2 linked regions of the Stegostoma tigrinum genome follow. The protein of the gene in region 1 purifies or fractionates together with the protein of each later gene. This does not show direct contact. Links are inferred from orthologs where the notes say so. Each region holds a gene or a part of one and is shown in the gene's direction. Other genes may lie near its edges. The genes, in order: swsap1 and spidr.

Evidence for each region.
Region 2: the proteins of swsap1 (region 1) and spidr purify together in Homo sapiens (co-immunoprecipitation; 3 studies listed by BioGRID and IntAct, with this or other methods). This does not show direct contact. The link is inferred for Stegostoma tigrinum from reciprocal best matches to the Homo sapiens genes SWSAP1 and SPIDR.

What each region holds. Positions count from the first base shown.
Region 1 is NC_081388.1:14,337,435-14,345,698, reverse strand, and holds the start of swsap1 (ATPase SWSAP1), read left to right. Parts: upstream 1-5,163; 5' UTR 5,164-5,187; coding exon 5,188-5,694; intron 5,695-8,126; coding exon 8,127-8,264. UniProt on the Homo sapiens protein: ATPase which is preferentially stimulated by single-stranded DNA and is involved in homologous recombination repair (HRR). Has a DNA-binding activity which is independent of its ATPase activity.
Region 2 is NC_081358.1:72,679,367-72,686,682, reverse strand, and holds the start of spidr (DNA repair-scaffolding protein), read left to right. Parts: upstream 1-4,269; 5' UTR 4,270-6,008; coding exon 6,009-6,026; intron 6,027-7,316. UniProt on the Homo sapiens protein: Plays a role in DNA double-strand break (DBS) repair via homologous recombination (HR).

The sequences.
Region 1 (8,264 bases):
ATGGGAAAGGGATTGAGGATTGTGGAGAACAGGGAACAGAACACCAGTTTCTGCTGAGGGTAGTCAATCTGTGAAATTCTTTACTGCAGGGGAAGCATGATTAAATATACGCAAGGCTGACATGGACAGATTTTTAATTGATAAGAGAATCAAGGGTGATATTGAAAGTGGATTTAAGCATTATTGGATTAACCATGATCTCATTGAATGGGAGAGCAGTTTAAATGGGCCGAATGGCCTGCTTTTGCTCCCTACACGACAGTGGTTTCCTCCCACAGTCAAAGTTGTGCAGATTAGGTGGATTGGCGGTGCCAAATTGCCCATTGTGTCCAGGAATATGCAGGGTAGGTGGATTAGCTATGCGAAATGCAGGGTTACAGAGCAGGGGGTCCGAGTGGGATGTTGTTCAGAGAATTGGTGTGGACTCGATGGGCCGAATGGCCTGCCTCCATCCTGTGGAATTCTATGATGATTCTATCTAAAATAAAATGACTTTGTGTTCCAAGGCAGGGCATCAACTTTCCTTTAAAAACAATCTCACAATGAAACAAGCTGTCACAGGAAATAGTCATGGGCTCCAGCGCTTGATATCCTCATATTTAATTTTTACATTGAAATTTTTTTCTTCATTTGTTGGAAGTAGGCTTTAGTGTCTGGACCAGCACAGATTCCCTATCCCTATTTGCCCCCAAGCAGATCACCATCATCTTCTCCAGGGAAACTAGGAATGGGCTATGCTTACCCAGCCAGTGATACACACGTCTGCTATATGAATAAAAAACAAAGACTAACATTTCAGCAGGCGTCTAGCCAGGTAATCTCTAGTATTAACCTTGGAAATGTTGGTGGAATATAGATCTTGGTCTATGATCCCAGCTCAGAAGAGGAATTTAGGGAAAACAATTGAATAGAGAATTGGAGTTTTAGAGTAATGGGAGGTTATTTCAGAGAAAAGGGAATTTATTAGAGGGAATAGAATTGAAGAGAAAGAGGGAATTGGAGAAATGGGACTTTAGAGGCCAAGTGGATTAGAAAGGTGGTTTATGGAGAAAGGAGGTTTGGAAAAATAACTTTATGTGCAAAGGGTTTAATTAATGGACAAGAATGGAAAAAGGAAACATTGGTGTAAGGGGTTCTGATGAACTGAATTGGATAGATTGCCTTTTTTGCTGTTAAAAAGAAATCACAAATAAAAATTTGATGTAAAATGTGCCTTTTTCTAGTTTATACATATCTACTTTGTGATTTTTTTTCAGTTCATGGCAATATTCCAGATGTGTCTTTTCTGTTTCGTTAATTAATATCTGTCTACAGGACCTCTTCATTTCAGGTTGAAAACGTCAAGTTCCTCCAGTCTTCCCTTATTACTCAATTAAAGCTAGGATGAAAACTTTTATCCACACTGCATCCTGCTCTTGTGTTGTCCTTTTTTATTATTGATTCATTGGATGAGGGCATCACTGGCTAGGCAGCATTTATTGCCAGGAGGGCAGTTAACAGTGAACCCCATTGCTGTGGGTTTGGAGTCACATGTAGGCCAGACCAGGTAAGGATGGTAGTTTCTTTTCCTAAAGGACATTAATGAGGCAGATGTGTTTTTCCTGACAATTAACAATGGTTTTATAATCTCCATTAGACTTTAATTTCACATTTTTATTGAATTCAGATTCCACCATCTGCCATAGCAGGATTCAAACCCAGGTCCCCAGAACATTGTCTGGGTCTTAACAGTTATCGTAGTCAAATTTCCAAATTCCCATTGAGTTTTCAAAATGTGCCACGGTGGTATTCAGACCCATGTCCTCAGAACATTAGCCTGGAATTCTGGAATACTCATCCAGCAACATTACTACAACACCATTGCCTCACAAAATCCCAATAATTGAAAAGTAGCAAATTACATGCAATATTTTGATCCGGCATCAGATGCACCACCCTATCCCCAGTTTACAAGGTAACAATTCAACTGGTAAATCAAAAACTAATGTCAGTAATGATGTTCAGTTATCAAGGTCATTACTACTGAGCTTAAGTTTCACTTTATCAGGTGAATGTAATTTCCATCAGCTGCTGATGTGTGACCTAAAGCTGTATCCCCAGAATAGGCAGCCTGGGCCTCTGAGGTATGAGTCCATGCCATTGCCACTATTTCCATATTCCTAGCTCCTCTGCATTTGTCAGAGGCACAAGATCAAAAATTAAATTTGATATGAGAATTTTCATCAAGCATTGAACAACAGTCCCTATAAGTAACAAAAATAGAAATTGCTGGAAAAGCTTAGCGGATCTGGCAGCAATTGTGGAAGGGTAAAAAACTGAGGTAATGTTTTGAGTCGTACAAAGAAGAACCATGTTTTGAAGCATTAACACTGCTTCTCCACAGATGCTGCCTGACCAGCTGAGCTTTTCCAGCAATTTCTGTTCTTGTTTCTGATTAACAATGTCTGAATTTCTTTGAGTTGTTATTTAGCCCTATGAGTGAATGATTCTAATTCATTAGAATCTACCATCACCCTGCTGCGATGTCGAAAGAGTGGTACGTGATCTGCACATTCATATATCTCATTTATTTCCCCCTCTTCGAATTTTGAGTGTTCCGCTTTTGAAAATAACAAGCAGTAAACATGTGGCTTCATATAAAATCAAAGGTTAGTTAATTACACAATGTCAAGTAATGAGAGAGGAATGTGATAACTATTAGTTAAAATAAAGACACAAAGATTAAATGTAGATGCTGATAAAAGATACTTATAATGATTAGAAAAACCACAGAATTGTTACGGTGCCAGGTGAGCACATTTGGACCATCATACCTGAAACAGCTCTTGAAATAAATAAGCTCAATCTCTTGCAGCCTGTTAATTGCTTGAAGATTTGTTTTTCTAAGGTGAAGAAGTTCAAAAGATGAATTCAGGAGCTTAGATGGCTTCAGTAGTTGAATGTTGTTTGTACTGGTGGAGTCAGTAGCTCGTGCAGGCTTTGAATGAGTGAGAGATTTCTTGTTCCTCACTAGTTGTTAATGCCACTTACCAACTGCTACGACTCTTCCCGCAGAACAGTGGTTGATTCCAGAAAGTCCTTTTCCTTGCACTCTGGTTTATTGAGAATCTTCTCTCTGAGCACGTTTAGTCAGAGTCCTTCCTGAGGAGTTCTCTGTTAAGACAGTGTCTCTGAGAATTTTATGCAAATAAAATTTAAGTTGTTTGTCAAAATTCGATTTGGTGAAGAGTGAGGTTATGCATTTGCGAAAAACAAACAAAGCAAAGCAATATACCACAAACAGGAGGGTTTTGAGGAAGTGAGAGACCTTTGAGTGTATGTTGACATGTGCTTAACGATGGCAGGATGTGGAGGTAAGTTCATAAAAAAGCTAAAGTGAATGCTTTCCTCCATTGGGCAAGATATTGAAAAGCCAGGCCATTCACCATCCTCACTTGGAAAGATATCATCATTCCTTCAGTGCCGCTGGGTCAAAATTGCAGAATTCCCTCTCTAATGGGCCTATACATGGAATGCAGTGGTTCAAGCAAGCAGCTTAACACCATCTTTTCAGGAGCAACTGGAGTTGGGCAATAAATGCTGGGCTAGTCAGTGATGCCCATGTGCCGTGAGTGAATAAAAAAAGAGGAATGGTATGCTGGAACAATATAAGTCACTGATTAGGCCATCACTGTAATTTTCTACACTGATCTGATCACCACATTACAGGAAGTACATAATTCTCATTAAGAGAGCACAGGGAAGATACACAAGAATGTTATCAGGTTTTGAAAATTGGAGATAATAAGGTGGCGAGTTGGATGAACACAGCAGGCCAAACAGCATCAGAGGAGCAGGAAAGCTGACGTTTCGGGCCTAGACCCTTTGCATTTCAAAAGGAATCTGATCTGCCCCTGAAATGCTGTAACCTGCAAGACTATAGCCAGGTGTTGCTAAGTGAGACTACACTGAGTGGCTAATGTATTCAGCCATGCAGACACAGTGGGCTGAATGGATTCTTTGTAAATTTTCTGTCTCCGTCCCCTAAATGGTATTGAAGAACCTGATGAGTATTTTTTTTAATAAGAGTTTTCCCTTTGTGTTAATTTAACTTGCATCTGCTGCTATGGTAGCAGGCATGTTGATTCCACTCACAGGTGAAACTAAAGCTAGGGGCATAGCCTCAAAATAAAGGGGAGCAGATTCAGGACTGAGTTGAGGAGGAACATCTCCCCCCGAGAGTTGTCAATTTGTGGAATTCCCTGCCCAGTGAAGCAGTGAACATTTTTAAGGCAATGATAGGACTTTGAACAGTGGAAGGATTAGGCATTATGGTGAACACATGGGTAAGCGGAGCTAAGTGCATGAAACTGATCAACCATGATCTTATTGAATGGCAGAGCAGGGTTGAGGGGCCTGATGGCTTCCTCCTGCTCTTACTTCTTATGGTGGGATTAAACTCATTTCCTCAGGCCATTAGTCTGTGGTTCTGGGTGGCTAGTCTCACTATATACCACTTCCCCTTTAATTTGCAGACCAGAGTTGAAATCAATTCAGAATGTTTTTCATAGAAACGTTTTTATTTATATCATTTAGCAGATTGGCCTTCAATTCTTAAACGGTGTCTCCCTATATTTTGGTGTCCAGACCCGAAATATCAGCTTTCCTGCTCCTCTGATGCTGCGTGGCCTGCTGTGTTCATCCAGCTTCACACTGTGTTATCTCTACACCTTGTTATCTCATATTCTCCAGCATCGGCATTTCCTACTATCTCTATATTTTCTATTTTTTTTTAAAGATCTTTACAAAAAAATACTGGCAATGAGGAGTGGGTCAGGGAATGCACTTTGGAAGTTGAGCATCACCTAGTTAAAGAAATAAAAAACCAGCAGGTCTAGCTCTACCTGAGGGAAAGCAACAGTTTGCAGCCTCGTGTGACTGCTGCAGAACTTAATGAACAGCTTGCACAGCCAATGAAGATTGTGAGGCGGATGAACCCCTCAAAAAAATTTGCAGATAAATTGGGCAATTTTAATAGCATTTAAGATGCTAGTATTCCAAATTTGGACCCAACTGTTTTCGGAAGTTCAGCATAAACTTTGCTTTAGTATTCGGCAGTCTGAGGTCCTGGGAATGGATATATTGAAAGTATCCAAAGCGGGGTTTTGTTACTTGTGAACCAGGAAGTGCATCAGTTTTGAATGAGGGATGGCGGAGGTTTTGTTGCATGTTCTCTGCTCTCACAGCGAGGCAGAGAGCAGGATTGATATAGCCAAGGGTTGGGGAGCCAGGGACCTAGGGGCTTGCCTGCTGCTGGGTGAGGAGTCCCCTGGGAGGAGATCCCTCCTGTTCCTGGCGGCGGCCGAAGCCGCAGGCCAGTGGGGGAAGCGAGTGCTCTTCCTCTCCCCGAGCCCGGTGCAGGCGCTGCCCGCCCCGCTGCTGCTGCTGGAGCCCGGTAGCCTCCGGAGGATTCAGTTCGCCTACCCCAGGACGGCGGGGGGGCTGCTGGAAGCGTTAGCGTGCTTGCATGAGAGCCCCCGCAGCCTGCTGCCCTCTCTGCTCTTGCTGGACGGGCTGGACCGGTACTTGCAGGGCTGCGGGCAGGACACGCCTCAGCAAGCGGCCAGGATCGCTGCCCTGCTCCGGGACAGTGCCTGCTGGCTCAGTGAGAAACTACAGCCCGGTACAGAGTGTCAGGTCATTGCAACACTGAAGGTGGAGAGCAAAAGCGCACAGCTCGCTGGCAAACTGCAATTCATTCGAAATAGTCATTCTTAAAACATTGTGTATTTGTTCCACCATAAATTAACCATTATAATTAACTCATACAAAGCAAGAGAGGCTATTCGGCCCATTGGATTTGTACCAGCCAAATCTACACTAAGTGTAAATCTAGTCTAAAAGGAGACCTTGAAACTTGAAAGGATTCAAAGAAAGACGTACAGGGATGTTGCTAAGGTGGAGTGTTTGAGCAGTAGGGGTAGGCTGAATAGGCTGGGGCTATTTTCCTTGGGGCATCAGAGGCTGAGGGGTGACCTTTCATCGAGGTTCATGAAGGGATGGAAAAAGTGAATGGCCAATGTCTTTTCCCCAGGGTAGGGAATCCACAACTGCAGGGCATAGGTTTAGGGTGAGAGGGGAAAGATTTAAGAGACATAAGGGGCAACTTTTTTCACCAGAAGGTGGTGCGTGTATGGAATGAGCTGCCAGAGGAACTGGTGGAGGCTGGTACAATTACAGCATTTAAAAGGCATCTGGATGGGTACTTGAATAGTATCAGAGATAATGGGAACTGCAGGGTCTAGGCCCGAAACGTCAGCTTTTGTGCTCTTGAGATGCTGCTTGGCCTGCTGTGTTCATCCAGCTTCACACTTTATTATCTTGGGTACTTGAATAGGAAGGGTTTAGAGGGAAATGGGCCAAATGCTGGCAAAAGGGTCAAGATTAATTTGGAACATCTGGTCAGCATAGATGAGTTGAACCGATGGGTCTGTTTCCTTGCTGTACAACTCTATAATTCTAAATTTAAACTAAATATATACTAATCCCACTTTCCAGCACTTGGCCTATTGCCTTGAATATTATGACATTTCAAGTGCTCACCCGTGTACTTTGTAAAAGTAGTGAGGTTACTCTCCCAAGCTATATGTGTGTTAAAACTGTGAGAATTATTATTTAAAATATATTTCTTATATTTTCTATAGAATGGTGATATAATCTGGTTTTATTTATCTAATGTTTTGCCATTACAATTAAATCTATAAAAAAAACTTCATTCTGAGTTCGTGTAATTTTAGCATCATGTTTATGTGTTTTTATTCTCGTATTTTTAAATATCTTTGTTGTATTTAATGTAGAATTATAGATGCATAATGCATTCTGGTTTTATTCTGTACATCAGGCTATAAAGCTGGATGAACTCCATTGTGTATCTCCCTAATGCAAAGAGATGCTGGTTTGTTTTGTGGACTATGGCAAATTGTTTATTCTGAGGACCTTTTCTCAGATTTGTTATTGTCGTAAAATGTCTTTATTCTAATTTTAGTTTACTCAATTTTTAGCATCATTTCAGTCTTATATTTTGATAATACATATTTCATTACTTTTATTTGTTATAGTTTGCTCATTTTTGTCTTTTCCCAATACTTTTATTTAAAAAATAACTTTTACCTTGTGTTTGTCCAATTCTACAACAATCTACAGCGGGGAAGCAATGCATAGTGAGTTAGAGCCTGTCAAATAGTCATCTTTAGATTGGTCCCCATGAGCAAGGGAGATGACACCAAAGGATAGAAAGAGATTAAGATTTTTTTTAAGAAAGTGAAAATTGGAAAAGTGCTAGAAGCCATTAAAGCAAAGTTAGAACTTAAAATAAAATGAGGAAGGGAATAGGATTAAGGGACAAAAGCTAACAGGCTTAGTTACTTAGAACGAGAGGAAAAGCTCATGGTCATAAAAGGCATGATGTAACTTTGAGATCTCCAAGGCACAGTGTAGCCAGTGCAGTATTTTCCAGTTTAGTTGCTGAAGTAGAGTTTGGAAACCAATTTACATTCAGTATGTTTCCATCAACAGCAACATGATGAGGACCAGATAACTTTGAAAATTCTGTAGTCATGAAACTTATTATTTTATAATGCTCCTAGGGAGTTTCCACTGGACTTTGATTGAGGTATGTAAGGTCCTCAATGGTGTTGAACATTGATAGGGTGGTTCCTCCTGTGAGTCAATCTAAAATTAGGAGGGCACTGTTTTTGAAGATCGGGGTTACCCTTTGAGGCCAGAGGAGAAGAAGAGACTTTTTTATTTCTCTCAACGATTTTGGACCTCTGTTTCAGAAGTTGGTGGAGAATAGGTCATTGAATGTTTTTGAGGCAGAGGCGATGGATTCTTGTTAACCAGTGGAATCCAGAGTTATTGCGGGGGTGGGGGGGGTAGATAGGAATGTGGAATTCAAAACCCAGACTGATCTTATTCAATACTGCAGCATGCTGTACAGGCCAAATGGCCTACTTCTGATCCTAACTTTGTACGTGCATCCCAGGGAACAGACTGTAGAGCTGCTCGCTGCTGCAGACACCTTGCTTGCTGATTTTTTACTTTCAACATTAACCAATAGTGACTGATCAGCTCTTTTTTCTCTTTAGGCTCCGATTCAAGAAGACAATGCGGCAGATCCGTTCCTGCCTATTATCGAGCGCTACATTCCAGTGAAGTGCACGGTGAGAGAGGAGCTGTGCAAACCAGACGGGGCCCAGCGTTATCTCATATCCTTCTCGGGGATG
Region 2 (7,316 bases), on another chromosome or scaffold:
ACTAGGGATTATATACAACACAACTTGTGGCTACACTGCTGGTACCCCCACATTCTTATCTGCACATTGTGTCGTCTCACATTCATGCTTTTCAGTCATCCTCTAATAATGCCATCCTTCCCTCTTCACACAATTCTCTTCTCATACAGCTCTGCTATTTTGCTTTGCAGGAAGAAGATAATGCACAACTCTGAGGAAAGGCAGAAACTGGAAATAGCACCTCTAGTAACAGACACTTTGAGCACTGAAGTACATGAGCACATGATCTACTGGGAAGCTTGTCTTGTTTCAGGAGGCCTCCGATGTCAACAGTAACCTGCTGTGAGAGCCTAAGACGTTGGTTCCCTCATGTCAAGAGGGATGATCATCTGCCTATGTTGGGAAGTTGCGCCTCCGTCCAGTTTGATATCTGTGCCAAACAGGTCTGCCCTTTGCAGCAGCATTTTGCTGAGGGGAAGACAACTGGTATTGCTGTTGGTTTTGGTGATGCTGTGCTTGATACTCATTCAAATTGCAAGACACAGATATATATGCTGTAGAATTGCTCCAGTGAAGACTGGCAGCAGGATAGTGCAGACAAAGTTTACCAAAACCAGGCAGGGTGAGTTGACTTCCAAGAAGATGGAGATTACTTGTCAAGAAGCAGAAAACCATGCTGAGAAGAAATGTTGTGAACAGCCACTTACCTGCCCTGTTTGTTGCTATGGCTTCCTGGTCAGTAGTTTTATTACAGTAGCATTCCCATTGTCCTGTTGTTTTCCTGCTCCTGCAAAGGTATAAATAGCTCAGAAAATTCATGCACTCTCTGTTAAAGCCAAGATACCTACTTACATTAATAGTTAATTGAGAACATAGGACCATAGGATTTAGGAGTAGCAGTAGGTCACTTAGCTCTTTGAACCTGATCCACCACTTAATATGATCATTACTGATCTGATTTTGCTATGAACTCCACTTTCCTTTCTGGTTCCCCTTCAGACATAAGATCTGAAGCCCTTGTCCATCAAAAATCTAACTCAGCCTTGAAAATATTTAGTGACCCAGACCCTACAGCTGTTTGTCGAAGATAATTCTTGTATGTTTCAATCAGATAATCTTTGACTGTTCTGAACTCGTAAGGGTTATAGTTCCATCTGTTCAATCTTTCTTAACTACAACTATGATGGAGTAGTCAATTAGACCCTGATGGCCTTTCCCACTGTTTAGCATGATAATGTCTGATCTTCCACATTGATTCTGTCATCCTGCAATATCCCCATATCCCGTACTTCCCAAAAATCTATCATTTACATCTTGCATATACTCAATAACTAAATGTTTACAACTTGTTGGTGTAAAGAATTTCTAAAAGTTTACAGCTCTTGAAAAACTTTTTCCATATCTCAGAACTAAATGACTGATCTTTTATTCTGGGACTGAAAGTCCTTTAACACTGCCCATTTTAAAATCAAAAGCAAACATTTTCAAATTCATGACATGACACAACACCTTTCAGGGCTTTAATTCTCCACCTATTCCCAAATGCATCTCATCTTAACAGTTAAATTTTTCCCCTTATCCTCAACAGTTTCTTGATTCCAAGAACAGAGAGTCAAGACAAGGGATAATGGGAACTGCAGATGCTGGAGAATCCAAGATAACAAAGTGTGAAGCTGGATGAACACAGCAGGCCAAGCAGCATCTCAGGAGCACAAAAGCTGACGTTTCAGGCCTGGACCCTGCATCAGAGAGCGCTCTCTGTCTAGGCCCGATTTGTCAATTTTTGTGCTCCTGAGATGCTGCTTGGCCTGCTGTGTTCATCCAGCTTCACACTTTGTTGTCTTAGTCAAGACAAGTGGGTAATTTTCTGTTTGCAAAACTGGAACTAGTAGAGTGCTGCATGAAAAAAGTGAGGGGGCTCTAATTATTTACAATGAATATTAAATTGTACACAGTTTGTGTCGCAGCAAAGAGGACAATAACAACCATAGGTATGAAAGTGAGTTCTGACGAGGACATGAGAAGTGGAAATTAGTCCAATTCTTGGGTCTTGTGGAGGAGTTGCTGGCTAAGGATTTGGCAGGGTTGAGCAGAGAAGAATAGGTTGTCCTTAATCCTAGCATTTGCCGCTAGTTGAATACCTGTAGTGATGGGATATGGCCTTTCATCATAGAATCCCTACAGTGCAAACAGCAGCCATTTGACCCATCAAATCCACACCGAACCTCTGAAGAGCATGCCATGTAGACCCAGCCCAATCCCCATAACCCCACATTTACCATGGCTAATCGATCTAGCCTACACACCTCTGGACACTATAGGCAATTTTTAAAATAACCAATCCACCTAGCGCACACACCTTTGGACTGTGGGAGAAAACCCACACAGACACAGGAGTATGTGAAAACTCCACAGAGACAGTCACCCAAGTCTGGAATTGAACCTGGGTCTCTGGCACTGCAAGGCAGCAGTGCTAGCCATAGAGCCATCATGCTGCTCAAGTGGGCATCAATGACCAATTTAAAGGGAAATTACTGGGTAGATAGTAAAAGATAATGCCTCTAATCTAGAATCCAAATGCCCAATTTCCCAGTGATACAATTTCAATCCCACCGTGGCAGTTGCTGCAATTTAAATTCAATTAATTAGTAAATAGGGAATTGAAAATAGCTCAGAAATAATGACCATAAAACTATAATCAGTTGTTGTGAAAACTACCAGGTTTGTCAGTGACTTTTAGGGAAAGACATCTGATATTACCTGAACTAGCTTTCATGTGATCAGAGATAATGGGAATTGCAGATGCTGGAGAATCCGAGATAACAAAGTGTGGAGCTGGATGAACACAGCAGGCCAAGCAGCATCTTAGGAGCACAAAAGTTTATGTTTCGAGCCTAGACCCATCTAGGCCTGAAATGTCAGCTTTTGTGCTCCTAAGATGCTGCTTGGCCTGCTGTGTTCATCCAGCTCCACACTTTGTTACCTCTGGCTTTCATGTGACTTCACGTATACAACATTGTGACTTAACTGCCTCTGAAATAAAAATAAAAATTCAGCTCAAGGGTAATTAGGAATGAGGAACTGATGTCTGCCTTGCTAGAGATGTTTCTATCCCATGAAAGAATAAATAAAAGAATTGCTGTCAGTGTGGAAGCCTGACCACAACCTTTCCTATCCTAGGCTAAATGGGGGCAGAGTTGGAATGGCAGCAATGGTGCCACCTCTGCCAAACTCACATCAGGGGATAGCTTTAAATTCTCCCCAAAGAGTGTGTAATTGGACATATTTAAATCAGTGGACAAAAATTTGGCAAATAGTCTTTTTGAGTAAGATGTGAGATTGGTAGAAAGAATAGAAAATTATTGTTTAGTATTTTTAAGTGGAAGGATGTTGCAGAATATTATTGAAATGTAGTCTGTTGAATGCTGTCATCTTGACGGATTTGGGTAACCTGTACATGAAGCACAGGAAAACTGAAGTAAAAATTTGACATTTATCCCAAGGAGAATGGAGAATAAAAAGAGAAACCTTACTTCACTGTACAAATGAATGTTTGTTAATAAACTATATCTTTGTTTTATTTTATTCCCTTCTAGGACATGAGCATTACTGGTTGAGCCAACATTTATTGCCCACCTTGAGTTGCCCTGGCAAAGGTGATGTTGAGCTGCCTTCTTGAACCACTGCAGTCTGTGTTTGGAAACATAACTGACTTGTCCCAGATGCAGGGTGCCATTGACTGCACATGTTGCACTCAAGAGATGGCCAGTTCAAAGCAGCAGAGTGGGAATCATGTGATTAATGGTCACCAACCACATCTAACTGAAACCAAATACTATAAGCTGGCAAGAAAGAAACAGGTAGCAATTCTCTCCAAAATGACACTGGTTTGCAATAAGCAAAAAATGAACAATACCCATTGTGATTAGACCCACAGTGTTGCTACAGAGGGAATTCCAGGATTTTGACCCTTCGTTTCACGTTAGAAGCATTGTGCTGCAGTTTAATCTCAAAAATAGAATCTGAAAACAAGAGTTTGGGGAACAATGTTGGTCTAATATAAAGTGCATGATTAACAGAAAACATTACATAGAACCAATCTATCACGTCTTGACCTTAAGAGGTGTAAAGCAATCATAAATTAGTCATTCGGGTCCAGTCACCTTTGCTCAGAACCGGACCTGAAACGTTAACTCTTGTTTTCTCCTTCACAGATGCTGCCCGACCTGCTAAGCTTTTCCAGCAACTTAGTATTAATTTAGTTAACCTGTCATAAATTCATGGAGCTTTTGAAAATTCATTCACAGGATATAGGCATCAATAGCAAGGCTAGCATTAATTCTCATTCTTAACTTCCCAGAGGAAGGTTAAGATTCAATCACACAAGTACACAGGAAATTAAGAAAGGACAGAAGAGGAGATGGATTATAATTTACAAGTTTTGGGAAATTCAGAAGTATTAAAAATCAGTTTATCTGGAGTTATATTTTAACAGAGAGGAGTATCCATTACCCCTGCTACCCTAGTCAAGTAGTAACTTGGAATCCCAGAACTGTAGAAGCAATTCATCCGTCCTGATTTCAGTCATGTGACAAGGCCAGGCATTCAGGTGCCGATTGCCTATTTTAGTGTGCTAATTAGAAGGCTGTTAAACTGAGTATAGTTTTACTCCCCCATTAGGGTTTCCATTGTGAGGTAATAAGATGACAAAAGCTTTAGCATAAGTTAATAATTGATATTTTCCTTTGTCCAGAGATGGATAGAAGCAGGCAGCTTGACTCCAAGATCCTTTGTTTGTTTTAGTTGGAATGTTTGCACAATGTGAGGATTCAGAAGCTTCTGGAAATATGATCAGCCAAAACCTTTTCATTGTCCAGCAAGGGTGTTCTCTTTTTAAGAAGGAGATTTTAAACTCAGGCATAAAGAAGAGTATACAGTTTTCTTTGGAATTTCTCTTCATGCCTTCTAGCTATGACATAAATCATAACAAATAAACTAACTCTTCTCAGAAACAACAGTTTAGATATGCGGTGGGCTATTCCAAAGATTCCAAGTTAACTCATTCAGGCTAACTGCCTTATACAACAAAACTAAAATACCTCACATTTCAAGACTCAGTTGAGGAACAATTGCTTTGCTCAAAGTGTTATCAAACTTTGGAATTCCCTACCTCAAGGATTGGACTTGGAATATATTTAAGGATGAGTTAAATTTTATATCTTTTAGGGAGTGAAGATTTATGGGTGAGAAGAAGTGGTACAAAGGTCACCATCAGATCTGTCCTGCAAGCTGTGTCTGTTGGTAACCATTCAGTAGGTATGAAAGATACAATTTTGTTTCGGGTTATGATTTTGTTACTTTCAGAGTATTAATGTGGCAAAATCCTTGGTCGTGCCTATAGAGCTACCTGAGATTGGAAAGGCCATTCTCTCCAGAGTTAAGGGAAGGACCTTTTTTTAAATTGGTGTTATCACTCGTGCCCTGTGATGGATGGGAATCTGTCAGCATTTGTCCCACCTTGTAATTTGTAAATTTGGATTATTTTGTGGATATTAAGCAGTAAGGGAATGGAATGCTTTGCCTGCAACGGTAGTAGATTCACCAACTTTAAGTACATTTAAGTTGTCATTGGACAAGCATATGGATATAGTACATGGAATAGTGTAGGTTAGATGGGCTTCAGGTTGGTATGACAGTTCGGCACAACATCGAAGGCCGAAGGGCCTGTACTGTGCTGTAATGTTCTATGTTCTATAATACTGCATCGGCAGATTGTAGATGGGGTACATAACGTCTTCTCTGGTTTAGTATCTGAATACCTTGACATTTTGTAACTTTTTTGAGAGCAAAATCATGCTGACTAATACATTGTAGCACTGGCATAATTCAGAGAAATCATGCGGGCTCATAGATTGTAGAGCAACTTTACGCAGCCGTAGTTTTGACTCCGCCCACACTGCTGTCGTAACACAGAGGCCAGTGATGCCGGTTGAAGCCTGTGTTTGGGCCTGAGGGGATCGGGCGGCGGCATGTCCAGCAGCAGGAAGGTATGAGGGTACTTTTTAAGGTGTTAATTGCGCGGTATTTACAACGGCGGGGTGTTAGGCAGACAGAAAATGATAGGCTGTTGATGGGGCATCTTAGAGCCCATCTCCTGTCGCCGGGGAAACAGTGCTATTCTCCATGCTGACTTTTACTGGCTGGTGGGCGGGTCAATTCAGTAGCAGACACTGCTCCTACCTCAAGGAAAGCAGAGGCAAACATGGGAAAAAGAACTGCGGATGCTGTAAATCAGGAACAAAAACAAAGTTGCTGGAAAAACTCAGCAGATCTGGCAGCATCTGTGAAGGAGAAAACGGATCTGGTGACCCTTCCTCAGAACAGAAAATGCAGGGAACACTCGGTCATGTGTAGACGAACAGTTTCCTTGCTGTGTGTGTCAGATTTAGGTTGGTCAACAGGAATAGACATGACAGAAATTTCCAAAGGAACAAAGCAAAGGGAAGAACGGGAACATGTTCACGCAAGGGAACACTGATAGTTTATTTAGTAGTCAAAAGACGATGTTTGAAGTGATGGAATTGATGTATATCTGAAATGGAAGTGCGTATCAAGAAAAATCAGGCCAACACTAAATGTGCAGATTTGCGTCATCAATACAAAAATGAGGGTCACTACCCTATATGTTAATTCATTTTCAGTCCTTCCAAAATTCAGACATGCCCATTCTACAACTAGGATCATAGAATCCCTACAGTGTGGAAACAGGCTCTTCAGCCGAACAAGTCCACATTGACCCTCAGAGCATCCCACCCAGATCCATCCCCCTATAACCCACTAATCCACACATTTCTGAACACTACAGGCATTTTAGCATGGCCAATCCAAGACGGTGGGAGTAAACTAGAGCACCTGGAGGAAACCCACACAGACAGGGGGAGAACGTGCAAACACCACACGGACAGTTGCCCAATCCAGGTCCCTGGCGCTGTGAGGCAGCAGTGCTAGCCACCGTGCCACCCATATAAAAGTGTGATCTACTTTTGAAGTTAGCTCCATCTGTTATAGTGCTATTAAGTCACTTGTGGTGATGTGCGTTATTACCAGTGCTCCATCAACTGAAAGATGCTGATAGATGGTAAACAACAGATGGCTTTCTTGATAAGCTTTCCTGCTCCTAAGATGCTGCTTGGCCTGCAATGTTCATCCAGCTCCACACCTTGTTGTCTTGGCTTCCATGCACACTTCACCTGATGCAATGAAACTTCATAGAGCTGAAATCATTGTTGAGAAATCCCAGTCATGCTCCTCCTTGACTGTAGCCTATGAGGTTTCTG